4 linked regions of the Struthio camelus genome follow. The protein of the gene in region 2 purifies or fractionates together with the protein of the main gene of each other region. This does not show direct contact. Links are inferred from orthologs where the notes say so. Each region holds a gene or a part of one and is shown on either strand. Other genes may lie near its edges.

Evidence for each region.
Region 1: the proteins of ASF1A (region 2) and CHAF1A purify together in Homo sapiens (affinity purification with western blotting; 3 studies listed by BioGRID and IntAct, with this or other methods). This does not show direct contact. The link is inferred for Struthio camelus from reciprocal best matches to the Homo sapiens genes ASF1A and CHAF1A.
Region 3: the proteins of ASF1A (region 2) and CDIN1 purify together in Homo sapiens (affinity purification with mass spectrometry; 3 studies listed by BioGRID and IntAct, counting the BioPlex papers as one, with this or other methods). This does not show direct contact. The link is inferred for Struthio camelus from reciprocal best matches to the Homo sapiens genes ASF1A and CDIN1.
Region 4: the proteins of ASF1A (region 2) and NASP purify together in Homo sapiens (affinity purification with mass spectrometry; 6 studies listed by BioGRID and IntAct, counting the BioPlex papers as one, with this or other methods). This does not show direct contact. The link is inferred for Struthio camelus from reciprocal best matches to the Homo sapiens genes ASF1A and NASP.

Annotation. Positions count from the first base shown.
Region 1 is NC_090967.1:4,459,065-4,466,928, reverse strand, and holds the start of CHAF1A (chromatin assembly factor 1 subunit A), read right to left. Parts: upstream 3,361-7,864; 5' UTR 3,202-3,360; coding exon 3,195-3,201; intron 2,848-3,194; coding exon 2,797-2,847; intron 2,560-2,796; coding exon 1,739-2,559; intron 1-1,738. Other genes in the region: SH3GL1 (endophilin-A2), read left to right, coding at 4,873-4,917. UniProt on the Homo sapiens protein: Acts as a component of the histone chaperone complex chromatin assembly factor 1 (CAF-1), which assembles histone octamers onto DNA during replication and repair.
Region 2 is NC_090944.1:65,344,034-65,351,463, reverse strand, and holds the start of ASF1A (histone chaperone ASF1A), read right to left. Parts: upstream 3,086-7,430; 5' UTR 2,720-3,085; coding exon 2,611-2,719; intron 1-2,610. Other genes in the region: DNA helicase MCM9, read left to right, coding at 5,582-5,756. UniProt on the Homo sapiens protein: Histone chaperone that facilitates histone deposition and histone exchange and removal during nucleosome assembly and disassembly.
Region 3 is NC_090946.1:49,777,774-49,785,401, reverse strand, and holds the start of CDIN1 (CDAN1-interacting nuclease 1), read left to right. Parts: upstream 1-4,453; 5' UTR 4,454-7,320; coding exon 7,321-7,421; intron 7,422-7,628. UniProt on the Homo sapiens protein: Plays a role in erythroid cell differentiation.
Region 4 is NC_090949.1:27,444,822-27,452,445, forward strand, and holds the start of NASP (nuclear autoantigenic sperm protein), read left to right. Parts: upstream 1-4,190; 5' UTR 4,191-4,309; coding exon 4,310-4,374; intron 4,375-5,186; coding exon 5,187-5,237; intron 5,238-5,980; coding exon 5,981-6,091; intron 6,092-6,665; coding exon 6,666-6,746; intron 6,747-7,319; coding exon 7,320-7,417; intron 7,418-7,624. Other genes in the region: AKR1A1 (aldo-keto reductase family 1 member A1), read left to right, coding at 893-958. UniProt on the Homo sapiens protein: Component of the histone chaperone network. Binds and stabilizes histone H3-H4 not bound to chromatin to maintain a soluble reservoir and modulate degradation by chaperone-mediated autophagy.

The sequences.
Region 1 (7,864 bases), on a different chromosome or scaffold from region 2:
CTCACTTTGGCAAATACAACATGAGGTACTCTACCTTACTTCAAGCCGTGCAAAGCCAGTAACTGGTTTGCATTATCACACTATGCCAGGAGTCCAGCACTTGTTGCTCTGCTACACTGGGTATAGTTCATGCCTACTTGAGTTTAAGTATGTATTTTAGAGGAGGAAGACTGCAAGTTTTAACAGTCTAAAACTGGTTGATTTGAGACAATTCACACAGCAAAAGAAGCGGAGGACCTGTCACATCATGAAATCCAAGCCCCAGCTAGCTTATTGCTATCTCCTTCAGGCCAATGAGATTTTTCCCTCACAAGCGGTACAGCCTCTCATTACATCCCAGTGGGATAGCTGATGAAAAGCTTTCTCAAAAGGCTCAAAACAGCAGAAAGCAATTCTCGCCAGAAGACATAACTGGCGAGCGCAAACCCAGGAGCAGTTCCACCCCTGCTCAGCACGTATACTTTCCTATTCTACTAATTTGCTCCATCTCTTCACCCTCATTTACTCAAGCCACATATGTCGTTTTCAGACTCTCACAGGGCAATATCCACTTTCCTGATTTTCCCCTCTAATAATGTAGTTAGGGCAAAACAAATACACAGGCCAAATAGTCCGGACTAAGTCTAGGCCAGGCTTGCCTAGAGTGTCCAAGCCCATTCACCAGGACTGCTCTACCCCACGCCTTTAAGGATGAGGTTATTGTGCCTGCTGCAAGAGAAACTCCCACTTTACATCTCAACGGATATATTCTGGAAAAGCCTATTCACTTCTCAACCGTTCAAGTCATGTGATCCTTTCAGCCATCTGCGCAGATAATGCCCTCTTTAATTTAAGAGTTCCCCTTGCAGTACAGGGCCAAAAGTCACAACGCTTTCATCACTTTCTCCATAGAGCCGAGACACTAAATTGAAACTAATTCAGATTCCAAACCACCAGCTCATGCAGAGCTATGGCTTTAGAGGTGTTCATCCTTGTGCTCCAACCTTCGCTGGCCAAAAGCATCACATGACCCCAGGAGCGCTGAACACACCCTGACTTTTCCCCTAAAGCAACTGCCCATGTCAAATGGTGCACACCTATCAAGATGGCTGACAGCACAAGTTTTGTACCCTTAATTCTGAGAAGCAGATAAAGACTCATTTGACTTGTCCTCTGTCCTCAACTGCCAACTTACAGGTCCTCAAGGCACTGCAGCTTCGCTTAAAGCATTGTTTTCTACCCCCCGGTTTCAGAAACACGGAACTTGAGAAGTATCCGCACCGACTTGTGCTAGAAGTGACTAGGCTACGCTTCCAATTAGCGTTCTGTCATAGTAACTGGAACGGCCTCGTGAAGTACAGAATGGAGGTTGTAAAACATCACTTACAGACAAAACTGCTTTTGAACACTGTCCACGCGCTAACTACCAAAATGATAAGTCACGAGGCATGCACTTCATCATCAATTTATAAGCATGAATCTATAATAGAACTTAAAGTTACATTGACACTACGCGAACTTACCAGCAGCTCAAAAGAGCAAGATTTAAATATTTTAGGTAAACAGTTTAAAGGATTCAAAAGGGTAATAGTTCAGTTACTATATGAATAAGTTGGCAACGCTCTCCAGACTCTTCCCATGAGCTTTGTGAATATCCTAGTCATCCTTTCCACTGTGAGCTCAGAAAGCCTTATTACCTACTATACTCCCTACTCTAATGAAATAATATTTAGAAAACAACCCAAGAAGAGAGACCAACCTTCCTAATAGGCGTGGAGACAGCTAAAGGACTACAGTTTCTCTTTGTTTCTGCAGCAGGCTGTGCCTCAGGTGAGCTCACAGAGTGAGAACTTAAGGAGGAATTAGTAAGTAGAGAGTCTCCTTCGCGGGATGATTCCAGAGTCTCATTTTCTGATGTGATGCTTCCATCCAGAGAAGCAACTTGAGGAGACTTGGCAGTCATAATATCCTCCAGGAGCACTACAGGCATCTTCCCCTCAAATATGACATCCTTCAGTTCACTCTGATTTATCTTTGTTTTCTCCAAGTTGTTACACTCTGGTAACCCAGAACAAGACTGGCTTCCACCTACCAAAACTTCATCTTTATTTGCCGCAGCTTCACACGGTGCAGTCTCCATTGAATCATCCATTGGGCTATTCTGACTAGAATTCATGCAACTCGACTGGTTTATATCTTTTTCTAGCATGCCATTAGTTATACCTACAGATGAAGATGCTTCTGAATCTAAATTAGCATGGTCCACATCATCACTCAGTCTATGGCTAGAGTCCTTTGTCAGGTCAATAATGATTACAGTGTCATTTGTGTTATGTTTTGTGTTTTTCTGTATAAAGTGATCTAACGGACCCTTTCCGTTAACAAGTTTTGGAGTAAAATTCACATCTGCATCCAACTGGCAGTCATTCTCCACATTGTCCAGGGACGCACATGACGTATCGAGAGAGGAATCCTTGTTTTGTCCAAAACTGCTTTGTGAGCTCTTTACTTTTTTGACTTCTGAATCCGCATCATATTTTTCCTTTGGTACAGGATTCAAGCGCTTGAAAGGCAGCCGGGCTGAAACAATAACATTTCGCTATTTTAGTCACATCATATAAACCCATGGGGGGAGGGGGGGGAAGGGACACAAACACTGCAATATTCACCTAGTTCTTAAACACAAGAAGAGAAACTGATGAGCTAGAAGGGAAGAGTTTATTATCGCAAACACAATCTATTGTACAAGTTCAGGCCTGACACGTTTTAAAGCACTAAGACCGCACTGGGTGCTAGACACCTGCTCCAGAGCCTTACCTTGCACAAGCTTCCGTGGGGGAACAACCGCTTTGCCTCGACACTCCATGGCTGCAAGGAAAAAAAAACACCAGTGACAGGTTTCTGCTTAGTCACCTGCTCCCCAGGGGCAGCCGGGCCACAGCGGCCCCGACGCCCCTCCCCAACACGCAGGGCAGTCGGGACCTCTCGGCCACACAAAGCCCAGCCGCGACCCGGCGCCCTGAGAGGGCCTGGCCACCCCCCGAGTAGCAGCGGCGGCAGCGAGCGGGGGACAGCGGCCACCGGGCCGCAGCGGCGGCGGGACCAGGCCCGGCGCCTCCCTTTGTTACCGCAGGAGGCCTCAGCGCACCCGCCGGGAACCGCAGCGGGCCGGCGGAGCCGAGGGCGCCGCCCGGGGGCCCCGCAGCCCCCCCTACCTGCCATGGGCGGGGGCGGCGGCGCCCGCCGCTCCCTCCGCCGGCGGCAGCGGCAACAGCCCGGCCCGGTCCCCTCTCGCCCCGCCCGAGCGGGACCCGCTCGTATTTGGCGGGAGCCGGGGCGACCCCGCGCCTCACCGCGCCGATAGGCGGAGCGCGCCCCACGTGACGCGCCCTTCCGCCCGCTCCGCCCCCGCGCCCGCCGCCCAAGTCTCGCGAGAACGCCGCCTCGCCCGGCGGAGGGAGGCCCGGCGCTTGCCCGCCTTCGCTGCCTTCCGATTGGCCAGCGGGATAGCCGCAGCTGATTGGCGCAGGCTGCTGTCAGTCTGGCCCGCTACGCAGAGCTGATTGGCTGGCTGAGGGAGGCTCCAGCTGGCTCTTCACGCCTGGCCTCGAGGCCTCGTTGCTCAGCGAGCGGGAGCCGAGACAGCGGCGATGCGGTCCCGGGGGAAAGCTCCGGAGAGGTCGGAGCGGCCATTCCGCAGCGCCGGGCAGCGGGAAAGACCCGGCCGCCGCGCCGCGCCGTCAAGGGGGCGCGAGCCAAACCGCGAAATGGCGGCGGCGGCAGCCAATGAGCGAGCGCCTTCCCGGCGCGAGCCCCCTCCGCGCGGGGGTGTGGGAGGAGGGCGCGAAGACGCTGCCGCAAGGGCCTCTGGGAGTTGTAGTTCGGCGGCGGCTGCGAGGCGGAGAGCCTCCTGGGAGTTGTAGTCGCCCCTTTGCCTCTCCCAGCGCTATGGCAGCCCTTGGGGGGGGGGGCGGGCGGGAAGGGGGGCACAGCTTGTCCCCACACTGTCCCCACACGGGCCCTCGCTCCCAGGCCTCGGCCCGCCGCCCCCTGACCCCCCGTGCTGCCCTGCCCCAGGCGGCGTGGGACGCAGCGCCCCGCCACGGGCCTGCTGGGGACGCGGCCCCCGCCCAGCCTGCCCGCCGCGCCTCCCCGGGAGCAGCTCCCTCCTGGTCGGGAGGGCTGCGGGCCCCATGGCGCTCGCGGGCTGGCGTTGTCCCCCCTCCTTAGGGACGGAGCGAGCGCCCTGCGGTGCCTCGCTCTGGCAGTTGTAGGAGTTGACCCTTCACGCTTCCGTCGCTGAAGGTATTTTTTTCACTTTAGGTTTATAAACGCGCCCCGTGGTCCGTAGCAGGGCACTCAGGGCGGGAGCGGAACCGGTTACGGGTCCGGAGAGAGCTGTTTTGCACCAGCGGCTGAGAAAGCGCTGCCTCCCGCGCAGGCGGCTTGTGCCCGTCTCCTGCGGAGAGTTACGCTGGACCGCGGAGCTGCCACGACGCTCCCGCCGCCAGGTAAGAGCGGAGCCGCTGAGGCGGCGGTCAGAGCGCGGAAGCGTCGCCGCGGCGAAGGCGTCGCTGCGCCGGGCCGGAAACCGTAGCCGACGGGGCGGCACTATCGCGACACAACCTCCTTCCCCTCCTCCCGGGGGCGCCTCCCTCGCGGCCTGCGCCGCCCGCGCCGGCAGGGGGCGCCGCGGCTGCCCGCCGAGCAGCAGGGCGGCGCTCTAGCCGCGCGCCTCTCGGTGGCGGCGGCGGTGGCGGCGCCCCGCCAGGCCGGCAGGGGGCGCAGTGGTGGCGGGTCGGGTCCCGCGGCGGCGGCGGCGGCGGCGGCGGAAGCTGCGCGCCAGGCGTCCGCCGCCCGCTGTGTCCGTGCGCGGCCGGCCGAGGCGGCAGCATGTCGGTGGCGGGGCTGAAGAAGCAGTTCTACAAGGCGAGCCAGGTGAGCGCCCTGCCGCTGCCCCCGCGCCGCCTTCAGCCCTCCCGGCGCGCTGCCCCCCCCCCCCGCTGCCGTGCTTCGGTGCTGCCCCGTTTCCCGCCGTCACCCCCCCCCGGTGCCCTCCTTGCCGGTTTCGTGTCCTCCAGCTTGGTGCCAGCCGTTATTCCCCGGTGCCCCCCCCCCCGGTATCGCCGTCCGGTGGCGGTACCGCTCCCTCTGACAACGCGCCGTTACTCCCATCCCGGACCGGTGCCCGTTCCCCCCCCCCCACACCCTCCCCGCTACCGGGGTCCGGTGCCGGTTCTGTCACTGCCAGCTCGGTGCCACCGGCGGGGCCCCTCCCGCGTCCCGAGGAGGCCGAGGGCCGCCGGCGCAGCGAGATGGCGGAGCCTCCCGGCTTGGGCCGCTCGTCGCCCTCCGAGGTTGCCCGAGCCCTGGGCCGAGCTGGCAGGAGACGCGGTTGTTCCTGTCGCACCGGCGGGTCCCGGGCTCGGGATGACGCCGGGTCGGCCGCCACCGCCGCTTTCTAGCGACGCTTGAAGTCCTCTCTCCGGGTCGACGGCGCGGACGCGCTGCGCCTCGTCGCCAGAAAGGGACGGCGGCCCCGGGACGGAGGGAGCTCGTTCCGCGCCCCAAACCTCGCCGCCAGCGAGCCGCAGCCGTCCCGTGGGCATCAGGGCGCGAGGGCGGCGACGGACCAGCGCGGCAAGGAGCCTGCAGGCGGTGAGATGCTCTTGGACTAAACGTCGAGTCGGTGTATGGATTCCAGGAGCAAAAAAATAAAGACGGAAAGGCTGAAATTCTGCAGCGGAGCAGAATTCAGGCCCGGAAGGTGAGGTCTTGGCTAGGGATCACCGGCCCTCGTTAAGCCCAGCCTGGCAGAGAGCAGCGGCAGATTGCAGCTGCAGCCTAACCTCAGGAAGTTCCCGCTTCCTTGATAGTAGCTGACATTGGGACTGGGAAAGGATTTTGCGGTTTGCAGGGTGAGGGTGTCCAGCTTCTCAGCCTGTGTATGCGCTGCACAGGAAATGGAGGCCTGGCGATTCTGGAAAAACTGTCAGAGGTGCAATTTTTTAGTAATTTATTAGCCAAACGAAGCCATTTAAAATCTTCCTTAATTGATAGTTCAAAGTGACGCTCCTGAACTAAAAAGCGTGTTTACGTCTTCGTAAAAAGTACATCTTAGGTATGGCTCCTCACAGCTTGGCGGTGGGCTGAAGTTCTCCAGCTGAACGCGGGGGGATTGGCCTCTAATGCAGTTCACAAGCACTTTGTGCCCCTGTTTTAAATTTAAGACAGATGAGTTTTGCACTGATCTACCAATTGGCTCTGTGTGTTTTCCAGGCGTAATGTTTCAACACTTCCAAGCTTGGTCCAAATATGTTTGCTACGTGTGTTGCCTCCTTTCTTGGCTGTAATTCATGTAAAAGCATTTTGCTTAAGCAGCAAAGCAAAATAATAAATTCCTTAAGTCGTTCCCCCATCCCTTTTCTTGCGACAGAAAAGCAATCCCCTGCATCTAGTTTTTTACAACTTCCAAGGGAAAGATTGCACTGAAAATTCATTGTTGGAGGATTTTACTTGTGCAGATCTGCTGTGTTGTCGTAGCAGGGCAATTAGAGGTGAAAGCTCATCTGTGAGTCAAAAGTAACGTGATTCTGAAGTCCGAGTGCGTCATCCTAAAACATCTGCTGAAACTTTTCACCAGGAGAATTATTTTAAACTGAGGTAAATCACAGGTGGCCTTTGCAGGTGTTTTTCTGTTCCATATGTAACTTTTTGAAAGGAACCGTTCTAGTTGCTCGTGGAAAAATTAAACCCCATGCAGCTCTTTGGTGAGATGTAGCCCAAATATTCTGACTTAGTGGCCTGTTTGTATATTGTGTGTGTACGCACATGCTTTATTTGAACACTATGTTCAAGGGCATTACTAAAAAGTGGGAGATAAGGTGTAGGTGCAATTGCACCTTGAGTTCTTTTGCAGCTCGTGCTGCTGCAGGGTTTTGGAAACTGATTTAATCTGAAGAAATTGCGTTTAACGCGAGGCTTGCTGCCAATATTCACGGTACCATTGCAGAAGTGAATTGCATGCTTTGCGGGGAAGTAGAGAAGGGCAGTCTGCTATCAGAGGACAGACACTGCTGGCTCCTTTGGAGCATCCTGGGGGCTGGGACGCAGAAGTATCTGAGCTTTAGAGATTCTTTTTCTGCGATCTGGGAGCGATTGGTCCCAGTTCTACCATTTTCCTGCATTCTCCTCCTCCTCTTTCCCTTTTCACTCTTCTTCCCCCTCCTTCCACCAGTCCCACTCTTGGGCTCCTTGGCTGAAGGAGAAGGAGGATTAGTTATTTTTTGGCTCTCTTAAAGGTATTAGGTGCTGCCAAACCCGAACATGTGGAAGATTTTTCCTAAAATGTTGCAGTTAATTCCATGTCTGTTGTTGATTGAAGGAAAACGTAGCCAGGACCAAGGCCTGTGAGGACCCTCTCAGAACCTCTCTGTTGCTGCAGCTCTGGGTGTGGGATTTTCCCCCTTGCCTCCCAGCGAGAAGAGGCTGCCAGTTCGGCCTCCTCCAGACCCGGACAAAGCAGGGTGGTGCTGCAGGCGGTGAAGAGGGCTTGGTCCTGAGCTCCTGCCTTTAGGAAGGCCTGACTTATCTGATTCTTGTGGGTCTACATGTTCCCTGGGTGAGGCTGCCAGGCGCCCACACGCAGGAGAGAGCCGAGATAGTATCCTGCAAAAAAAAATCCTGCTTGCAAATGCCGCAGAGGGTGAACAGTTCTGTGTGTGCGTCCAGAACAGGTTTTGCTAGTTCACAGTGAAATGTCCTTTTTTAAGGAGGGGGAAAAATCCCATCGAAAACATTCTCCCAAGAGGTAGGGGGAGAAACAACAGCATCTTTGAGTTCCAGCGCTGTGAGCCAGGAGCAAGGTGGGAAGTTGCGCTGCAGC
Region 2 (7,430 bases):
TTTATTTGCATTCTCCACAAAATCCAGAAGCTTATGTTATGATTTCTTGATGCAAGACTGGAACTGAAGCAAAGCAAAAACTAGCACTTCAACAGAATTGGACTGCTTTAGGATTGCAGTCAGCTGTTTTTCTTCATTAATGCAGTCCTTTGTTTAATCACGCTTCCACGTTAATACAAGTTTTCAGTTTTTAAGTAATATGCTTAGCAGGGTTTAGGAAGTGATTTTATTCCGTTGTACACGCAACAGGCCAGGTACTGCATCAGAGGTTTTATTTACCTTGTAAGCATCTACTACTAGGTACGGCCAATACTGCGGGCTAGTAATCCAGGTGAATTAGTGACCTGTTTTCTCAAGGTCAGTGCAAGTTACTGTACATAACAAGTGAGTACTTTTAGCCTAAAATTATTTAAGATTATCCTGCCATCATGTGCTATTATTCCAGGAAGACAGTATGAAACTCCTTCTAGACTAGTAATATTTAGTACTGAAAAACATACTTTAAAAAAAAGTTAAATTACATGATTGGTTGAGCCAATGCTTTTTAGGATTCTTGATGTGGAATGATAACTTAAAAAAGACTGGGGTAAGGGAAAGGGGGCTGGACTTTATGAATTTACTTTTAGGTCAGCAGTGCACAGGACTGACTGAAAAAAAGCACAATAAATAGATATATTTGCATGTGAAAGCTAAGGTAACGACGGCAACTTTTTCATAAGCTATGGGAAGGCTACGTTTCATTTTACTTTTCTGTGTGAAAGATAACAGTGCTCCTCCTGAATTTATCCTGTAGTCTAACTCGCACTTAGATGGGGGAAGGGAACGGAGAATTTTGCGGCAGACCATCTACATAATTCTTCTCGCCCCGGTTGTCCTGGATTAACTGTGGCGTAAATGCACAAAGTGAGGGGCACGTGATGCACAGCTGTGCACAACTGGCAGGAAAGGCATGATGCCTGGCGCCTGGCCCCCTCCGGGGCGCACCGCTGCCCGCCGCCCCCGTCCAGCCCAGGGCTCCTAAGCTGCCTCTCAGATAAGCCCAGCCGGCCGAGAAAGAGACAGCCAGCCCCCTCCACACAGCCACGGAGCAAACACCGTCACAGGTGGCGGCAGCCAGCCCAAGCTAATACTTCGGCGAGTTTTAGAAGCGGCGGCACGTCGGCAGGAGCCGCGGGCCAAGGCCTGGAGGAGGGAGGGCTCGGGCACGGCACCGGCTCCCGCCACAGCCGCAGCGTCGCCGAAGGGCGGCGCCGCGCCGCGCTTCGGCGTGGGGCCGGGGGCACCCCGCCAGTCACCCGCACGGGCCCGCAGAAACTGTTACAGAAGCAGGCTGCAGGAGGCAAATTTAGAAACAGAGGAACCCTCTTCCACACCTTATCACTTATGAACTTAGTTTTTCTTGCCCCTTCCCTCGAGCCGCTGGCTGCGCGGCAGCGTTGGTCGCGGCGGCGACCGTCGCCCCGCCGGGGCGCAGCTCGCGGCTGTCCCCTCAGAGAGGGCGGCTAACGGCCGCCCTGGCGCTTTCCCGCCGGCAGCAGCCGCGACCCCCAGCGCGCACCTCCGGCCCGAGCCGAGGGAAGCCCGCGGCCCGGGGCTGCGCGGCGCCCCGCGCCCGCCGGGCGTTTCGGGGCGACTCCCCCCGCGGCGGCGGCCCGCGGGGAGGCGCTGCGGCGCGGCGGCGGCGAGGGCGGTTCGGGCCCGCCCGGCTGAGGAGAAGGCGGGAGCCCGCCCGCCCGCCTCCCGCCGGCAGCGGCGCGGCGCGCCCCTCCGCCGGGGCCCGGGGCGCACGGCCCGCAGCCCCCGGCTGAGCTGTGGGGAGGACGGGGAGAGAAGGGGGGGGGGTCCCCGCGGGGAGGCGGGCGCGGCGGAGCCGCCGCCGGGGCTGCTCCCCTCCTGGCGGCAGCCGGTAACTTTCGAGTGACTTCCAAAAATAGTGGCTGGGCGCCGGCCCCCTCCCCCACCGGCAGGGCAGTTAACGTACCGCCATCCCGCCCGCTCCCCGCACGCCGCCGCCGGCCCCTGCAAGCGGCATGAGCCAGCCCGCCCCGGCCTCCGAAAGCCACCTTTTTTTTTTTTCTCCTCCTCCTAAAGTATTAAAAAATTGAGCATGAGGCCAATGAAACGTTTGCGCCGAAATGTTTTGCCCGCATCGGGTAAACGTCCCGGCGTATCGCTACTCGCTCAGCAACAGTTCAGCTCCCCTCCGGAGCAGGGCTGGCTGCGAGCTGGGTTCGGTTAACCCTCTCCCTCTCAGGCGCACTCTCCCCCCCACACACACAAAGCTGGCAACATGGCTACCACCACTCAAACAAGTTCCTTGCAACTTAAAGCCTGCGTTACCAAATGCACAGCTCGGCCGGGCAACGCGGCCCCCCGGCTCGGCGGCGAGGGCGAAATAAGCGATCAACTTTCCCCGGCGGGCTCGGCGAGAGCGATTTTAAACCAGCGTTTCAGCTGCCTGCAAGCACATCCTTTCATCTAGGCACACCGATGCAGTGAAGGAGAAACTGTTAAATTGTCGAACCAGGCCTTCGCAAAGTTTAAACCTTAAAACCCCTGAAACTAACAGCCCTGGGTTACAAAATCGGTATTGGGAAAAAATCTACTCACCTTCCGACAGGTCCTCTATGCACTCAAATGTGATTTCGAATTGAAAAGGATTGTAGAAAGGAGAAGGATTATCCAACACCACTACATTGTTCACCTGAACCTTTGCCATATTTTGAAAAAAACACAAACAATAGGAAGAGCGTGTTAATGCAGCACAATAAAGTCCAGTGTGTTGGTTTTTTGCAACGCACAAACCCCAGTGCCACTGTCTGAGCGAGGCCGTAGAGCTGTGACTTGAAGAAACTTTTTTTTTTCCCCCCTTTTATTTACACCAGGAACACTCCACACTGTTCGCAGCTTTCCTATTTCACTAAACTACAGCCCATTCTGCCCTGCTCGCCGCCAGCGCCCGCCCGGATTGGCCGCACGCTGGGCTAGGGCCCTCCTCCCCGAGCCGAGGCGCCGAGCGGCACCAAGATGGGCCCCTGCGCTGCCGCCCGCGCCTCGCCGCTCGCCGCGGCGCCCCCGCCCGGCCGGCGCCGCGCGGAAACGGGCGGGCAACGGCGGCGGCGTCGCCGCGCGGGCAGGGGCGGGGCCGCGCGGGGCGGGGCGGGCAGCAGCGGGCGGGGCGGGCAGCAGCGGGCGGGGCGGCCCGCGGCCCCGCCGCCTTCTCCTCGCTCCCGGGCTTTCGCCATGTGCTGTCGTTTGGGGGGTTTTTTAAATTTTTTTCTTCTTCTTCCCCCTCCCCCCCCGCCCTTTCCAATTTCCGCAGAGGTGGTTTTTGTTCCTTCCCTGAGTGACGAGGCGACGCACAACGTCGCTGCCGTTAGGGCTTGGTGCTAACGCGATGAGTGCACCAGGGCGGATGGCCGCCCCGGGCAGGTGCGCCCGCCACCCCGCGGGGCCCCGACCTCCTGCCGCCAGCCGAGTGCAGGAAGAGGCCGCGCAGACGGAAACCTCGCGCACCCCCGGGGCACGCGCTGAATAAGTGGGGTTTTTCCAGTGGGGTGCCAGGTTTCCGGGCTGGTCTGCGTGGGCCCGGATTCTGTGGCGAATCCGCATAGCTAGAGAGATCAATCCAACAGCTTATTGAGGGGTCAGGAGTTATCCTTTAAACAGCAGCATTTTCAAGAATGTGCTGAATTTCTTAATGTGCTGAAGAAGGCCTTGGGTGAAATAATGCATCGGGAAGCCAAATACACCCTTGTGCAGCAGCAGGAAGTCCGCAGAGGAGGCCATCTTAGGCCTCCTTTGCACGGGGGATAGGGAGCATAAATATGTCCCCATAGCACCGCTCCTGCCTCTATGGGGGGGGGCTGGGTTGTGGGCCAGCGGGGAGCTCCTACCCGGGGCTAGGTGAATATTTTTCCTCCTAACCCCGAGTGGAGAGTCTGTGGAAGTAAATACACAGGCAGGTTGTCCTGCCTGAAGGGAGCCCTTGGATGCAGGGGAGGTCACAGGGCAGGAAGGTACGTCGGAGCCATCTTCCTCCCTGCACGGAAAGGCTGAGCTGTGCTGGCAGAAGCAGAGCGGGTCTGCAGCGGGTCGGAGCATAGCACTGAGGCACAGGGTCCTTCAGCAAAGCACCGAGCTCATGCAAAATTGTGAAAGGAGACGATGTTTTTGATTTGTAATTACAAAGAAATGTCATGGTCTGCATGCTTGCCTGATCTTGCTTGCTATACTTTTTTATAACTTTCTCCTTGTGTCTGTCTGGAGACTAGAGACTGTTTTGGTTTTTGTAATTCTGCTATGTAACTGACTGCCCAAGTTGTGTGGTTAGTACTGGGCTTACAGAATCCAGGAAACCTGGAGAGATGGGACGCAATGAAAGAGGTTCTTCTTAACAAGCTAAAATATGTGATCTCTTAACAGGAAACATATACTTCCAATAACTTTTCACTGGCTATTTGGAAGCGAACAGCTACTGTGGTCATCTGCACAGTGGTGAGAAGGCAGCAGCAGCCTCTCCTCTCTGGACCCACTGAAGTTTTAGTGGGAGGATCTTTTGGTTAGTTTTGCCCTAGCATTCCAGGAGATGCGAGGCTGGTTGCAGCTTGTCAGCTACTAGGATATTTTGAGCTGAACGCTGCAGGGTGACAAAGAAGGGCTAAAGATAGAGAAAAGGCTGGGAAATAGGGAATACAAAGTTTGAAAGGAGCTGCACCTATTTGATAATGAACAGCCATTCCCACAGGTTTAGTTACAGCCCCCAAAACAACCCCGTTTTTAAATGTTGTTTAATGCCTAGCAGTAGAATTGTCCTGAGGCTCTTAACCCACATTCAGAACTGTGTCAGTATTGCATCATAGGAAATAATTAGTAGAGGGAATGTAAAGCTGAAAGTGCAGCTCTGTAACCAGAAGACGTATGAGGAAGTTTTTCTGGCCTGTGATGCACCTGGTGTTGTCTCATGCATAGATTTACAGCGGGATTTACCTCTTGGGAACTCTTTTTTCCATTTCATCTTTGAGTATCTTGGCTTTTCATTTTAGCTTAATGCTCAAAGGAACCAAATCTCAAAAAGAGACCTTATTGTCTTAGTTCAAAATGAGAATCTGTCGCAGCTTCCTGGGGACAGAATATTTGAAATAATTTATTTTTCCAAGCTTCATTCTTCAGTTCTGGAATCTTTGTCTGTTTTAATAGCTGATGGGGAGGAAGAGCTATGTGTATCCATTCTGTAATTTTGCTATCTTTGCATTTACCCCAAATTTCAATTTGATTAACAGATTCAGTCTTTTAACCGTAATCACTTTTGTACATTTATCAATGTCATAAAACAAGTTATTACCAAACGTGGGAAGCTTAACAGACCCTGTTCAGCAGATCCGAGCTGACCTGCATAGTACTAGTGTGATTTCTTACTGGTAGGTGTAAACTGAATTACATGGTAGAGTTGTGTGGTGAAGCTAACCTGCTGTTTTGCCTTCTGTCTGTGGTACAAGCCAATGTACGGAGTCCCTTTCTTTCACTGAAGTGCGCTCCTGCGTTTTATGGAAAAGGCTGACTGAAGTAATTGATTCTTCAGGTTTGACAGTGACTGCTGTGAAGGACTTTGGGGAGTGGAACTTGGAGGCTGGAGCCCTGGTGCTTGCAGATGGAGGCCTTTGCTGTATTGATGAGTTCAACAGTATCAAAGAACATGACAGAACCAGTATCCATGAAGCAATGGAGCAACAGACCATCAGCGTAGCTAAGGCAGGGTAAGTGGCGTGTTACCGTATGTGACAAAATAGCGTAAGATGTTTCTATTGTACTCAGAAATCAAATATGTTGGAGACAGGTCTGCCATGCTGATTAAGTGTAGCTGCTTTGTTTGTTGCACTGTATAGTTTTATTCTTTATGATATTCTTAAACTAGGTGAGCCAGCATTTCAAAGGGCAGTGCAATGGACTAGTGGTTGCACGCGACCAGAATAAATACATTCCCTCTGCACTGTTTTGTTTTCAATCTACCACTGCAGGCAAAGGCACGTCCCTAAGATGACTTTGTGGTTTTTGCTTGTCTTTTAGTGAGAATTGTCATAATAGTCATAAGTGAAATGAGGAACTTTGTGAACTTTGCATTGGAACTCAGAAGTGAGGGCTTTTGTTTGCCCCAAATTCAGAAATACTGAATGGTAACAAAAAGAAGACCAAGAGATTTCCAGGCCGCTCAGTTTTATCTGCTGGGTGTGGCATGGATATCAACTCCAGCTTTCAGCTTCTTGCTTTCCTTTTCAAACCACTGTGTGTTCAAATTTGCCTCCTCCCTCCCCCCCCCCCACCCCCCGCCAGTTTTTTTTCAGCTCAAACCTTCTCGTTCTCTGCAGGTATATACAGCTCTGGTCCAAGCCCAAATCATTTGGTCGCTGGTATTCATGAAAACTGCTACTCAAAAGTATTACCTTTTCCACATTCTGCCTTGTTGTCTTCCATCCAGCTCTTGCCCAAATCGCATATTTTTGGCTCCTCTTCCTGATCATATCATTTTTTTATTTTGACTAGGTTTTATGCCATTTGGGGGATTTGGTTTTTTTGTTTGTTTGTTTTCCTAGGCCCTGCACCTCCTTCCCTCTTATCTGCCTCTTTTTCCTGCAGGATTTTATTGAACATTCTGCTACTGTCTGTAAGACAGATTTAATGTGTCTTCCTTTCCCTGTGTGTATCAATAATTCTAGCCATATTATGCTCTATGTTGAAAATGTTCTTCCTGAATTTTGCCTGAGTTGACCCACGTCACATACCCTCTGTGCAGCCTCTAAGACTTTTTTTTCCGTTCTGACGACTTCTGCAAAGTGACTGTGTACTGTCAGTGCAAAAATCTGTAGCTTCAAGAATGTGAAATTAGAGGAGAAAAATGCAGGATAAAAGCAAAATACAGTGTAATTCAGGCTTATAACGCATAAAATAAGGGCACAGAGTAAATAATTTCCATATTCTGTGTGAGCAGTTCCATCTGGGCAGTTCCGTGGAACTTCCGCAGTTGTCTTTTGGAGGACAGGCCTGCTACTGGCTTTGTGCAAGTCTTGTTGCACTTCCTTCTAGTTTAGTCTGTGAAATGTGGAAGGGTACAGAGACACGACAAGATACTCTTTGTCTTTTTCTGGGAGCAGATCAGGACAATCAGTCTAAACAATTACATTTTTCAGAATTGTTTTGATTCAGGTGCCTGTCACAAATCTTTTCAGATAAAATTTCCAATTTTGCAACTTTTTTGTTAATTTCTTTGGATGATTTGAAAGAATAGTAGTACGGTATATCTGTCTTCAGCATGCCAACTCACTGCTAATGCATCCTCTGTAAATACTCTAGGCTTGAATTGGACAAGTAATGTCCTTCTCACCTCAGGAGTTACTAACCTTTGCCAGTAATGCAGTTGTGGCCAAATACTTGGA
Region 3 (7,628 bases), on a different chromosome or scaffold from region 2:
AGTATCTCTGTAAGATCTCAGTAGATGCCCGATAATCATACTGTTGAATGACTGACACCTAATTTGGATGTCTAATTTGTGTGGTTAACCCTACAGTCAACAGGAAGAGGTAGCCCTGCTATCTCTGGCTATGTATCTCTATTTCTTCCCCTGTGCTGGCATTTACATTGATGAGGCTGGGCTCTCTGTCCAGTGAGTTGGATCCACAAGCTGATTCAGCTGAAAAATAATATTTCTATTTTTTTTTTTCTGGTATATTCATTTTTCAGCTGGATCTGCCTGACCATGTATGCACACAATCAGCACTAGTAGTAGTGATACAAGTGCACAGGTGAGAATGTAAAACTGGCTGGAGTGGGCTGGGATGATCTCTTTGGGAACTGCTTATGGCACCTATGTAATTAAATAGGATGTCTGGCACTGGATAATGTGGCTGCCCTTTCAAAAGAGGCCACACGGAAGGAAAATTCCACCAAAAGACTTCTAAGCTTACATGAGAAGTCTGTAAAGAGACAAGGGGAGAATCCATTTTCCTTGGCAGCAGTGAAATTACCTTAACGTTTAACTTTTTTCTTTCTGTAGTTCCTGCTTCATTCACCCAGTACATATTCCAAATGCTTCAACAAATGAGACAGTGGTCCTACAGAAAACAACTCAATTCCTCACACAGCTACAGTGTTTTCCCTGTCCAGTGAATGAAGCAGAAATCCCCTGGGGAAAAGGTAGTATGCAACAGTTAATAATATTTTAATGCATACAGACAAAGAAGACAAATTAACTTTAAATAACTGAATTTGAAACCAGAAAGATATTTTAATATAGGTTTATGTATCTGACTACTGTGAGTTTAAAAAAGCAAATCCAAATTCCAGAAATTTTATCATACGGAATTACCATGGAGTCAAGCTCCAGCACAAGAACACGTAGGGTATGTTAACATCTCAGTCATTGAAATTGATTTTCTAAGTAACTCATCATTTTCAAAATTCTTTTATAGCTTGTTACAGAAAATACATAAACATACAGCTTACAACCTTAAAAACGGTCTGCTTCCAAGTCCATTAAAATTAATGATAGATTTCCAATTGACCATAGATCAAGCATTGGATCAGGCCCCCAGTATATAAAACAATGTTTTCAAAACACAATACAAACACACACATATTTTTTAAAAAATGTCTTCAGCAAGAACACAAATATTTTAAAGAAAGATATATTGAGTATACTTATAGTACAGAAAGCTAGATTTATCTTCCTCAATTACTTCTGTGATTACAATAAATAAATTTGAAGACACAGAAGAAAAGCAATGTCTGCCTCTTTGAGTTGCTATTCTCCTATATACAATCATCCTAACATTGTCATGGTCTTCACAGTGTTGAGATATCAAGTAATCCTACGAATACTTTTAGGGAAAAAACAGAAACTTATTGTGATCTATCATCTTGTGAATTGGCAAAATAGTCAATGCTTAACAGTGATGTATAGATCAACTGTTCTTTTCTTTCCAATACAGACTGAGTGTATCATGGATTGTTCCACAATACATTTATTTTCAGTTAGTACATTAGAACCTATGGACATAAATTAGATGATAAACTGAAGGTTCTCCTTGTTTATGAGGTAACAACTGTCTCCTGTGGAGATGTTTATTAAACCAGTTACAGATACACTTACTACTGAATTAAGCGGAAGCATACTCAAGTTTTTCTTATAATTTAGAAACGTCAAATAAGAAGAGCTGTGTTTCACAATAAAAAACACATGAAAAAGAGACTAAAATATACCTATACAAAAACTTCTGCACCAAACTGAATGAAGTGAGAACACTGTGCGCATAGAAAATTGTAATAGGCGCTCTAATAAGAGTTGCAAATGAGATTCTAGTCTTACTGCAGTTCCCAACTCTAAAACCTACAATCAAAAAATAGTTGATTTAATTTTCAAAGCACATCTGCAGAACAGGCCAATTACGACAACCTAAAAATTCAAAAACATTTGAGCTATACAGTCTATAAAGGAAGAAGATAGAAGGTAAAACTTTAAAAAGCTACTCAGTATCAAAATGGCATGTATTTTAGCAGCACAATTTTAAACTAGGTGATCAACTGTTTGTATGAGACCTACCAATGAAAACAAAGCCTGACACCCTTTTTTTCAGAAAAGTCTTTGAAAAAGTACCTGAAGACTCAAGTTCAACATGTTGATTGTAGATGAACCCTCTGAGAGAAGAAAAGGGTTCAAAGGATCTCAAAATGTCTGATGCCTGCACGGGAAAGTGAATCAAAGATGTTGCAACGGCAGTTGAGAACTTTCCGAGAACTGGTACCTCAAAGTTCACACATACACCAAAAAAAATTAAAACAGTCTTTTCTTTTGAACCTCCAAAGGAAGCTGAAGATAACAAACTAAGTAAGTTTTCTCTTCTTACATGAACACCAATTTCTAGAAGCACAAACTTTTCAGTTTTTTAAATCCATGCAGAATGCTAGAATTACTCATGATTTCAGATTTCCAGGTATATTTTTGGGATATTGATTTTCCTTCTAGCTCCTTCTGCAAGACTTGTGACCTCACTATCTAACAGCTTGTCCTGAATCTGCCACTAAGTCACTGACTTTCCAGTTGAGTAAAGGACACTTTTTTTTTTTTTTTCCAAACCTCAAATCCCACTGACACATCTTCTAGAATGTTGTGTGAAGTCAATGGTACAGGTTTTTCAGTGTTTCAAAACCAACTATTTCAGTTTTGAACAGGTGAACTATAAATCTGTACAAAATAAAGCTCCTTGCTCATTTTTCTAGTCACTTGAGCACTCTAGGAATTTTTGTCCTTCTTTCCACAATCCTCTTTCATACAGTTCCCCTCCCACCAGCCTCTCTCAGTATCTTCAGCAAGATCTGGTCCTATCATGAAAAGTCTCTTCTCAGCCTGAAAAATGCTTCTTCCTCTCTCTTTCCTCCAGATGCTCCCCACCATTCCTGCAGAGAAACTGGAGAAAAGTACTTTCACCAGTATGCAATTGCTCATTTACCCTTCCTGGAACATACATATGGGTGCTTAGAGTCTTTGCATTAATTTTGCTATGGGAAAATTAACACGGAGCAGAGATTCTGTCTATAAAAGAAGTGGAGTGGTAAAGTAAAAAGATAGCTGTAAAGTCATAAAACTCAAATCAGAATTCACACTTTATGCATGAATTTATTCCTTATAACACCGTACTATAATTATCTAGCCTCAAAACACAGTGATTTTAAGCTCTGTGGAAAGTAATGAATGGCATTTTAACTATGAACTTGGCTATAAATGACACTATGCAATCACCTTCTCATAGTAATGGGGGACACCTACTAAGATCACTGGTAAAATATCAAATAACATAATATAAAAAGCAGACCGAAGGTCTGTTACTTTATCCTTTGCCAACTGTGACCAAGACTACCTTTACTAAACGATGGTCATTACTGGAGGTTCTCGGCCAGCTATTTCCCTCTGGTTCTTTTTATTTATATTTTTGACCCTACAGCTTAGGGGCTCTCTTTCTCTTTCTCCCCCTCATTCGTCACTTCCAGTCACTTGTTTTTCCCTTTGTTTCTTTTTCTTTAGCCCACCTTCGTTCCTGGAAGGAAACATAGTTTTTCTTATACATGGACTGGAACCCATCCCCAAGGCAGAAATCCAAAAAACTAGCTGCCAAGGGCAGATGCCAAGGAAGGAGCGTAAGAACAGAGCAAGCACATAATTATACTTCCTCAGAACATTCCCCCAGCATCCAGCCATTTGCATCTCAGAGACTTCCTGGGCTAAAGGTATTTAAAAGCTTTTCATGTATTTTTCTTCCACAAATTTCACTCATTTGCTTATTGAATTTATGCAAACTCCCAACATCCACAACACCTTATACAGCTATCCACAGCTCAGCTTCACACGGTCTAGTGTTTGTTGCGTATGGTAAAAACGGTGATGGCAGCTTAATTGAGCTATTTCTGATAGGAACACGTCAGGGTTTTTTTTGTGTGTCTGTTTGGATTTTTGAGCACGTCATTGGTATAGTTCTGTGGTAATTAATATAGGCACGCTGTGGCTCATACATTTTGTGTACAGAACTTCCAATTTATGTTTTAAAACATTCAAGCCCTTACACTTAACCGTAAATGCTTCTTTTGGATGAAAAGTGATTCATATCTCTGAGGGCTGTTATCTCACGAGGATAATATTCTCTTAGTTCATCTTGGTTGCAGTGAATATTCATGCCAGTTTATTTTCTTGTTTTTTAAAATAATTTTGAAATCTGCAGAACCTTGTTCTAGGACAATAGTATAAGAAACATATCTAATACCTATATCAGACATTGCTCCAGAGATTGGTAACTTCATACTGCAGTTCTAAAACTATTCCACCGCTGTGCAATGCAGAATGAAATGTCAATTTTTTTTTTTTTTTTTTTAAATTACTACTGAACAAGGGAGATGAACAGAGATAAACCTACAAGTTAAAGCTAGAAACCTTATTATTTTAAAAACAAGTTTCACTGGAACTTATCCTGCAACAAAGAAAGGAAGATGTAAGTCATTTCTAAGAGCACGCTTTATGCGCTTCTAAGGAAGCAGTAGTAGTAGTAGTAGTGAAGACGCACAAAATTATTTTAAAAAATTATATTTCAGAAGTCATAATTCTAATCTTTTGCAAGATAAGGGAAAATGATCCTTTCCATGGCTCAAGAAAATTATACCCTCATGGGACTTAAAAGTGGGTATCACATTAAAAAGAACTCACCCATCCCTCCCAACAAACATCCTGTAGTGTTAAGACTACTACTTCATATAGCTAAAGAAAATAAAGCATTTTAATATTAAATAATAATATTTCCTTTAAAAGGAAAATCTTTTGTCAATTTCACATATTATTTTTTGGTCTCCAAGAAAGGAACGGAATCTATAATTTGGCTTAGCTTCACTGTGTTTACTTACACTGTAAGGCGAAAAAAAAAAAACCCACTGAAAACAAACCATCTTCATTTACTGTGACAAACCTACTGAAGACAGTCTTGTACCTTTGACTGAGACTGACCTCAGAACATTTATAGCAAAACTAAAATGCCTTGCCTCCACTTTCATTTTGCTTTAAGGTTAGCTACTTATAATAACTGAGGGATGTTACTCAACACAATGAAGACAGACGCTTTAGCTTTACCCTTCTTTTTATTTTATTTTTAGCTTTCCAATAGCTGATGCACATTAATTAACCCAGGGTAAAAATATAACAAAATAAAACAAAAAAACAAACAAGATAAGCCTATTGAGACAGGAAATAAAGAAAACTTTATAATAACTCAATGTAATTCCTATCCTTTTCAGTTTTACAACTGCTGTTGATACTATCAGAACAGGAGGGAAGACTAGCACAGCAAAATGGTGTTCTTTCAGTAAAATACCAAATAAAGCCCCCAAGCCAACCAAATACACAGCTGTGACCATCTAATCAATTCTCTCAAATAAGTCTAATATATCCAAATGCTGTATATCGCTATTCTTATTAGACTTCATATTAACATTAAAATATCGATATTAAAATGTTTATTGTTAATATTTGTCAGATACGTACCACCAATATAGAACAATCTAGAATGCAACTTATATAAAACAAAGCAATATTTTAAAGCTTCAAACATCGATATTTAAGGCACCTTTCCAGAAGCACCTGTTCTCAGGAAGGCTCCAGGTTCCAAACTAAACCCATTAAAAACCCTGGAAGACGAAGTGACAGAGGGTTCATCAGGCACTGTCAAGTAATAAGAAGCCAGGGTGCCTGACCTGGCTAATATACACATACTGTTCGCATGCTTTTCCTTTAAGCTGCAGTTCTCATACTCTCCAAAGAAATTTTGTAAAGTTTCTGGCTAAGATGCAGAAAAACACCTAAAATGTGATCCTCAAAGCCTTCAAAAGAGACAGCAAATAAACAAAACCTAAAACCTACATAAATCAATTCCTCAAGATTTCAAGCAAATTTCATTACTTCTGTGTCTGAAACTGCAAGGCTGGGACTCCAAACCATGCGGAATTAGCAATATTATTGTCTGTACACAGTTCATGCACATGATTAGTTAAACTGAAATTATATTTGTCAGTCAGATGCATGATTGATTCTCTTTGTAATCTCTCATCTATATACAGTTCTTTATTAAAAGGAGCACCCATCTCCCAAAATTATTTAAAACACCCAGCACAGGAATCAAGGCTTCAACCATGTGCACTGATGTTTCATAGTATCACCATGTCATTCAAAATACGCTCGAGGCTTAACTAAACTTCAAGTCAATCGAAGCGTTAAGTTTGGACGGTTTTCTTCTAAAACTTAGCAGAAGGCATTTGCGCGTGAGCATAAGGTTACAGGTCACTACAATTAAGGCGAGCGAGGAGCCACGGTCGCAATCCCACTACCTCAGCAGGTCTTTACCATAAGCGGGGGGTGGGGTGGGGGGGGGAACCAGTTATTTCAAAGTGGCTGCCGGTTAAAGGCCTTGAAAATTATACTTCAAAACGATTCAGGAGAGGTTACACCCCACCCTCGTGCTGCAACTGCTGCACAAGCCAGGCCACCCCGGGGTACTGCCGGCGCAGACCTGGCTCTGTTTCGGTCTCTACCCCCGGGGCCTACTGGAGCGCGGCGCTCGGCGCCCCCGGCCCCACGACTATCGGAGCCTCCGCGGCCCCACGCGAGCTCCCTCTGCGCCGGCTGACTTCACGGCAAAGGAGCCCACGGGCGCTTCCTCAGCCGTGGCTGGGCCAGGCCACGAGGCCAGCATCTTTCTCCTTCTCCTCCCCCCGCCGCCCCAGGGCGAAGGCCTGGGGAAGTTCCCGCTGTAGGGAAGGGAGAGGCAAGGAGACCCTTTAAGGCTTCCGAGCCTGGCGATACCTCCAGAAAAGCGCCATTTCCGCGGGGCCCATGGAAGCGCCGCGCGCCTCTCCCCCGCCCCTGCAGCGGCTGCGCAGGCCCGAGCGGCGCGGGATGGCGGCTCGCCCCGCCCCGCCGCGTTTCGCCGGCTCGGCCCGGCCCGGCCGTCCCAGCGCTGGGCGGAGCGGCGGGAAGCGGCGGCCTCCACCGCCGCCGCCTATGGCTGTTTGAGCGTCAGGCTGTTAGCAAAGGGTGCCCCGGGCTTGTTGCGCGCCCGCCCTCTCCCCCGCGAGTCACGGGCTTCCTTCCTCCCGCCTCTCCGCGCTGCGCGCGGCCGTGGCACTGGGGGCCCGAGTGGGGCAGCCCGCTGCCTGCCCCCCTCCCGCCGCCGCGCCGCGCCGTGCCGGTCTGGCGGTGCGAGGCATGAAGCTGACCAAAGCCCAGTACGATGAAATAGCCCAGTTCCTGGGGCAGGTGCAGCCCACCAGACAGAGCCTGCGGCAGCTGAAGGAGAAATTCCCTAGGTAAGTGCTCGCTGCCCGGCGGGCCGCTGCCCGGCGCGGCCCCCTGCGCGGGCCCCTGGCGGCCGCCGCGCCGGCTCTGGCCGCCGCCTGCAGTGCAGAGCCTCACACGGTATAAAATCACTTGGACATGCACACGTTAGTCGACGGCAACGTACAGCTCTCCGAGGCGGTTGCTAGAGGCACGGTACGTTTCACCCTGTGCGACCT
Region 4 (7,624 bases), on a different chromosome or scaffold from region 2:
AACATTTATATCTCATCAGTGATATCTCTAACATTTATATTCAATCATTAGTCATTTAATAGAAGTTTGAGCTGAATGATGCTAGCCTGTCACACTACACACACAGGGAGGTGTATCTCCTCGCTGATGCCACACTTAATTCCCTCAAACATACAGTTTAGGAGCAAGGTTTTTACCCCAGCTCCCGCTCAGTGGGGTGTTGCAATAGACTGAACGCATCTAGGACTGCAGCCTGTGCACCTGAATGGTTAGACGTGGGGTGTAGGAACTGGGACTTCTGTATGGCTAGGTCTGCTTTTGGGCCAGCCTGAGCTTCTGTTCCATTATTCCTGAACATTAGTTTCAGCTCTCCCATTTCACAGCTGGAGGAACTGATCTGCCTTGGAAATATTCTTAAACTCACAAATGAAAAGTGCTATGAAAGAGTTCAGTGACACTGTTTGTGCTTCCGTGTATGACCTTGAGTAAACTATTTAATTTGTTTCCTCATGTCCATCTGTAAAACTTAACATCCCAGCAAGTCTCTGTCTTGGAAAGATAGGCGAAAGCTCTGATTTTTATAAAGTGTTTTGAAGTGTGCCTGTTACAACACTTATTCAATACCACTGCAAGGCAAAAAGATTAACTATTCTTAATCCAGTTCTTCAAGTCTCAGCAGCTGGAATTCCGGAAGACTTTTGCTTCAGGCTACGGAAATCTTGTTTTGTTTTGTTTTGTTTTCTCTTTCAAGAAGAACTAACAGCACTTGGAGTAGAGGGAACAGCTCTTGCTAAACTGAAAAAGTTGATTGTACACATTTGGTATATGAATAATTTCAAATGCTGCATAGTTTAGATTTGTAACTAAGAGTAAGGTGGTTGTTATGACTTGAGCTTATCTGTTTGCTTCACAGGTGAATGGAAAGCTAGTAGCAAGAGATGCTGGACACCCCCACTACCCCTTCAATGACCCCTATTAACTACTGGAAAATAAGGTGTTAGAATAACATGCTCCTCTGGGTGCCCTTCCACAAAGTAATTGTTGCCACCGTTTATCAAAAAGCCTGTCCAAATAAAACCTTCCTTTCTGAATAGGAGGCCTGAGAAGGTTTACCTATATATACTGCTTTTAATTGACCTCCTTTCTGAAGATATTGTAGTTTCCATGTCAAAGTTTGTGGGATTTGTTACAATGACTGCAAGCTTGCTCCTGGAAGCATCAAATGTTTTGGGGATTAGACAGAGTGGTGGAGTCCAAATCAAGCTCCAAGCGCTTCATAATTGGGCTAGGGCAATAGTTTGGATTTACTGTATGTAAAACGGTTTTGAATTCTTTAGTTATTACCACGAGAGAGGGGGGGGAAAAAAAAAAAAGGAGGGGAGGGGAGAAGGCAGTAGCGTGAAACCATTTTCTGACTAAACAACTGCTCAGTTATTGACTTTGATATCCTTATTAGCGTTTTTATACAGGGAACAAAGTGAAAGTGCTATGGTTGCTCTATGTCTGTAAAGCATTAATTACAGCCCAAATAACCAGCCACGTCCAGTGTTTTTTATTCCCTTTAGAATACTTGTGGGACTTTGATCTGCATTTTCTTTTTCTTTTAACTGTTATGTGAACTTGAGGGAAGTAAATGCATATCCGGGAGCAGGCCTTCAGGGTAATCCTTTCTGTTACTTGTCGCAAAGATAGGTTTTAGCTCTGGCAATGACCGATTGTCCCATCGCAAAAGCATCAATAACTTTGTTAGCAAGTCTTGGGGAAATCCATCCTGCCTTACCCATAATGTTGTCCAGTGTGTCTTTGAACCAAAGATGTCCAGTTTGAGTTCTGGAAGATCACAGAATTAGTTCCTGACTATATAATAAGAGCAAAGACCTAGGCCCCTTCTATTTTAATGTGTCCTTTTCAATTGCTGTCTGGGCTGGGACTTGGGATAGCTGGTCCTGTCCCACATTCTACCACTGAGTCATTTGCCTTTTCTGTGCCTCTGTTTTCCAACTTGCCATGTCTCTGTGTTATTCTGAGGCAGGGACTAATTTACTGAGTGCTGATGTACCATTGAGTACTGCTGGATCTCTAGCAGTAACAACATTTTGTTTTGTTTTAGTCTCCCAGTAATGAATTGTCTAGCCATCTGAGTATAAAAGGGTGTAAGGTGTTAAACAGTGCTCTGATAGTAATACCATTTGTGGCCTTACCAATGTTGTTTAACTTTTTGACTTTTTCTACCTGTAAAATAGGACTGATGCTTATTCGCCATTGTGCAGACATGGTAACAAGGCACAGTTTCTAAAGCTTATCAGAATTAAAACAGAGGGATTCTTTCAGATCCATTGATGCCATTCAGAGAGTGTCGTAGGCAAGAGTTCTGGTTAACTGCTGGATAAAGAAAGCGTAACTAACTGTAAGTGAAATAAAGAACGCTTTTTTTTCCCCCATAGCAGTAACAACCCTCTGTATTCAAGTAGTTCAAAAACTTAAAAAAATATGTACTATCTTAGTTTTGCTACCTTTATTTCATTTGTAGTAGGCCTGTATTAAAACCATATAGCATAATCTCGAGCATAATGCAGGCCAGTGTCTCCTCAGGTATTTTCTGCTATGAGCTGCACAGCAGGCAGATGAATTGGAACAAATCTAATTTTTAAATAAACATTACAAAAAGCGATAAAAGAATTTTTCTGTCCCTTAGCAAAGTGTTTTCTAATGCAGTCTACTGCTGAACTTACTTGAGTACAGAAAACCATTACAACTCGGTGAGGTTTCTTTACTAGACTGGAAGGGAGACAAATCTATGTGTTTTTTTTTTATTATTATTCTAATCAAACATGGATGACTTGGAGTATGGTTCCTGCTGCAAATCAATAAGGAAGCAATTTTACTTTGAAGGCGCTTTGTAGAATGATAACAGCAGTCCTCCTGTCAAGAAAAATGGCTTTTGTCACTTGTATTTCCACTTGTATGTTTGCATGCTTTAAATAAATATTGTATTCAGTGTATGACTTTGAGACTTCCTCCTGCCCCCCCCCCCAAATGTCAGGAGGCCAATTAACTTTTTCTAGTTACTTCTCTAAACAAGGGGATATAAGTAAGTAGGCAGAGAGAAGTCCCAAGAAAAGCTGGTGATTCCCTGCTTATGCCCTCAGCTCTGTTACAGCCTGGAGGAACCCAGCACAGCTGAAGCTGCTGAACTCTTATTTTGAAATGGCACAGGGGGAAATGTGCCTCCAGGTCTCCGCCAATGGGTTTGCTGCTGCTGTGCGAGTTTTCTGGAGGTCTCGGCTGTCACAGCTGCAGCAGCCATGTCTGTGTTGTCTGCTGCCTTGCATGTGCTGTGGAGAAAGCCTCCCCGGGAGCTCGGTGGGAGCCGGTTAACTGCCTGCCTTAGATAGACGGTGCAAGCGCCATGATGTTGCTGCCGTGCCAAGGGTGGCGGGAGAGAGAAAACAGGAGCTCCCTAATAAATGAGAGTTCCCAAGCGGTGGCAGGCCATTCCCTTCCCAAGACACTGGGGCAGGGGGCGGGCGGTGGGTAACCGGCTGCGGGCCGCGCTCCTGCCCGCCCGCCTGTCCCCCTTCCCGCCGCAGAGCGGGGCGGGAGGGGACGCCGGGGCCCGTGCCCCCGCCAGGGCCCGGCTCACCCCGGCGCCCGCAGGGCTGTCGCTGCCGTTGGCGGCAGGTCCCTTCCCCTAAGTTAGGAGGCCCCCGGGACAAGCGGAGCGGTCACCAGCCCGCCTGACCCTGCTCGCTCGCCCTTGCCGGGCTCCAGGCTGCCCGGGCAGCGCTGTCCTCGCAAGATGTCCACCCTGCCGAGGGGGCAGGGGGCGCACCGCCACCGTCCTGCCGGCCCCGGGGCCCGCCCAGATGCTCTTCGAGCCGCTGCGTGTGCGGGGACGGAGCGGCGGCCCGGCGCAATCCCCCCCCCCCCGCCCCGCTTCTTGGCCCCGCACCGACTACATTTCCCAGCGGGCCGCGCGGCCGCGGCGGCCTCCCAGCCGAACTCCATCTCCCAGCGCGCCCCGCGCGCCCCCTTCCCCGTCCGCTCCGGGACGCGCCCCCTCCGCTGCATCTCGCACTACGTTTCCCACCTGGCCGCGCGGCCCCGCCGCGGCTACTTCCTGCTGGGACTACGCTTCCCGCCGTGCCCTGCGCAGCGGCGCCCGGGGTGGCCGGCGGTGGGCGGGCGCGAGGCATCCTGGGAGCTGTAGTCCCCTGGCGGCGTGCGCGCGCCGCCAGGCGGGTCGGGGCGTGTCCTCGGGGGTATATAGGCAGCCGGAGGGGTAGGGGTCTGCACTCTGCCGCCGCCGCCCCTGTCTCCAGCAGCTTCTATGCAATCTCCGGCCGCCGCTGCCGCTCCCCCCTGCGTTGAGCCCGCACCGGCCTCTCGAACTAGGTAGGGTCGGGCGGGCTGGGTCCGGTCACGGTGTGTGCGTGTCGGGAGAGGAGGAGGAGGGGGATAGGGCCGCTTTCGCGCTGCGCGGGTGAGGGTGGGGGGTGGGGAGAAAGGGAAGGAGACGGCGGGTGGGCCTCGCTTCGTTAAGGGGGGGGCGCCAGCCGGGGGTCTCTGATTGGGCTCGCGCGCCTGCCCCCCCCCCCCCCCCCGCGCGGTGGTACGTGCCGCCCCGCTCCTCGAGCGCCAGCTGGGCCCGCTCGGCTCGCGCGGAAGCACCACGTGACCCCTGCGGGGCTGCTGCCATCTTTGTTGGGGGCAGCCGAAGCCGCGGAACCTGCCGGCGGGTTGGAGGGGGGGGGCGGGAGAGGCGAGGGAGGGAGCGGGCGGGGTGGAGGGGGGTGGGTGGGAAGGAAATCCCGCCGCGTCACGTGACGGCGGGCCGCCAGCCTGTGAGGAGCCGCCGCCGGTGTTTGGCGCCAAAGGCGGGGGGCGGGGCCGACGGGGAAAGGCGGGAAAGAGCCCATTGTCTGCACGAAGGCGGGGGGGGGGGCGGGGGCCGCCTCGCGCCGCCTTTGTCCCGGCCCAGGCTGGGGGGAGGGGGCGAGCGCGGCGGGTCCGGGGCCTCTGGAGGAGCCGAGGGGCCCCTCGCCTGCGGGTCCCGGGCGCTGGCGGACGGGTGGCCCCGCTCCCGGCGGCGAGGGCCCTGCCGTTGCCGGCTCACCGCGGCACCCGGGAGCCCCGCGGCGGGCCGGGCCGGGGCTGGGGCCGGGCGAGCGGCCGGTCTGAACGCCTCTCCAACCTTTCCGTTGCAGGATGGAAGCGGAATCGGCTGCTCCTTCCACGTCCGCAGACAAAACGGACAGGTGAGGCGGCAGGGTGAGCTGAGGGGCCGCCAGAAGCGGTCCTTCTTCCGGCCCGCGGCCAGGCCGGCGGCCTCGCCGCCGGCTCCTCCGGGCGCTGGGGACCCGGCTTCTCCCGTAGCCTCTTGCAAACGTCGGGTGACAGAACCCTTTCAAGGGTTATTGAAGGCACGAGTAGAACAGACGAGTTAGTGAATGCTGCGGCTAGCCCGTAGGGATGCTCTTCCGTGGGCGGCTGGGGCTGTCCGGTGTCGGGCAGGACACAGGACTGGGACGGACCCTCCAGGAGCCGCACGAGATGCGCTGAACTGCATCCAGGGCTTAACTAAGCCTGTTGTTCTTCTCAGATGTATCGTGCTGTGCTATGAGAAGTCATAACTTGGCGTCGCTCCCCTTTGTTTAGCGAGTATCAGAACGGGAAGAAGCGCTGGCCGGTGCTGGGCGCTGTAGTGGTGCGCGGCTCCTGAAGCACGTCCCAGGAAGTGTTCTTTGTCGTGCCTGGTTCTGTGATCTGCTTCTTGCAGCAGTTGGTTAGCGTTAACCTGCCTGTGCTTGGACATCACAGCTGAAAGTTGGTCCTGGTGAAACTACTGGTAGTGCCAGTGAGCGGGATGCACGCAACTCGCTGTCATACGTAAAGCTGACTAGGTTTTGGAGGCTGGGTACAATTTTTTTTTTTCCTTCCCCTGATATTTCATTTTCTGATTATGTGGAAACTAATGGAATCTTGTATTCTGTTTTTTCAGTATGGATGTGGATGGAGAATCCAAGAAACTATTGGGTTTAGGACAGAAGCACTTGGTAATGGGAAATATTCCAGCTGCTGTCAATGCATTCCAGGAAGCTGCTAGTTTATTGTAAGTAATAAAATGCTTTGTGTGCCTTAATAGGACTTGGATTTCAGCTTGACCGATACAGTTAAACAAGGAAGATGTAGGGTTTTTTGTTTTTTAAACCTTGGATAGGCTGCTGCTTTTATAGTACATCTGAGGACGGTACAAGCTATTTAAAAGTAGGATAAAGAAACTCGGATATCTGAAAATACCGTAGTTAGTGTGCAGTTTAGGCAGCTTAGTAATAATTGTCAGTGTTCTTGGGAGAAAAAGGAATTTGGTATTTTATTTTGCAGTGTATGGTTCTGATGTAGTCCGTTAATCTGAAAATAACGGGGTCATGTTACTAGCCCATTCTTTGCTAGTATTGGTCAGTCTCTGAGGGTAATGCTTTTTGAGGCTTCTAGATTAATTTATTTTGTTGGATGTTTGAGAACCAGTTCTAGATTAGTGAGAAGGACATTCACTATTCGCTTGAAAGTGGGAGATAGGCTAAGGAACTGATTCTTCCTGTCTAGGTGTTCTTAATAGCTTTCAAGTTCAACATCAAAATCTAAGAAAGACACAGACCCAGAATAATGCTTCATTGCCTTTGTAGGGGTAAAAAATATGGTGAGACAGCGGACGAGTGTGCAGAAGCTTTTTTTTACTATGGAAAATCTCTTCTGGAGTTGGCCAGGTATGCTAACAGTTTCTCATTTATAGTGTCCATCCATGGATGTGTCACATGCTTCCTTTGGGTAACTTATAGCTGAAAGTGACTGGCGTACCTGCTTTCTGGGGGGAAAAGGAATGGCTAGTTTGAGAGGCGATTGAGATTAATTACTGAGAGTGAGAAGTGATATTGGAAACAATAGAATGGTTTCTGGCAGAAAACCAGAACTCAAAAGTAGGAGCAATCTACAATGGCTTGTTTGATGTTATTTAAACACAAGCTTTGTAGCAGAAGTACTCTTTTTAAGGGATCATATGGCGAATATCCATGCCTCTTTGGAGGGAAGTATATCTACAAGGTTAACGAATACCCAAATATTTTCAGAGCACAGCCATCCTGGCATCTGAGCACTGTCAGGTAAAGTGTAATTGTCATGCTTTGAGATGAAAAGTCTGGCTGGGGTAATAGGATTTTGTGCTGGTACTGGAAGGGTTATACTAGAACGATGGGTTGGATGGGCCAATGAGTTGCACGTTTCTACAGTTAGAACGGTATCGATATAAGAGCCAAGGGATAACAAATTTCTGTTCCCTTTAGAATGGAGAATGGTGTATTGGGAAATGCCTTGGAAGGGGTGCAGGTTGAAGAGGAAGGAGAAAAAGCTGAGGATGACTCTGTGTTACCAACTGTTGATGGTATGTAAAGCTGTCTGCCGTGTCATGGAGATACCAAGCTGTATTTTCTTGTCTAAATGATCCAAGTCCAGTTCCATCACTTTTCTAGGTAGTTTGAGTCATTGTATTGAAACTTTTAGCCTTAATGGACTTTTTTTCCTCTAAAGTTTTGTAAAGATTGAACAAAACCTCCAAAATTTTGCTGGGAATTGATCGTTTAAAGCATGT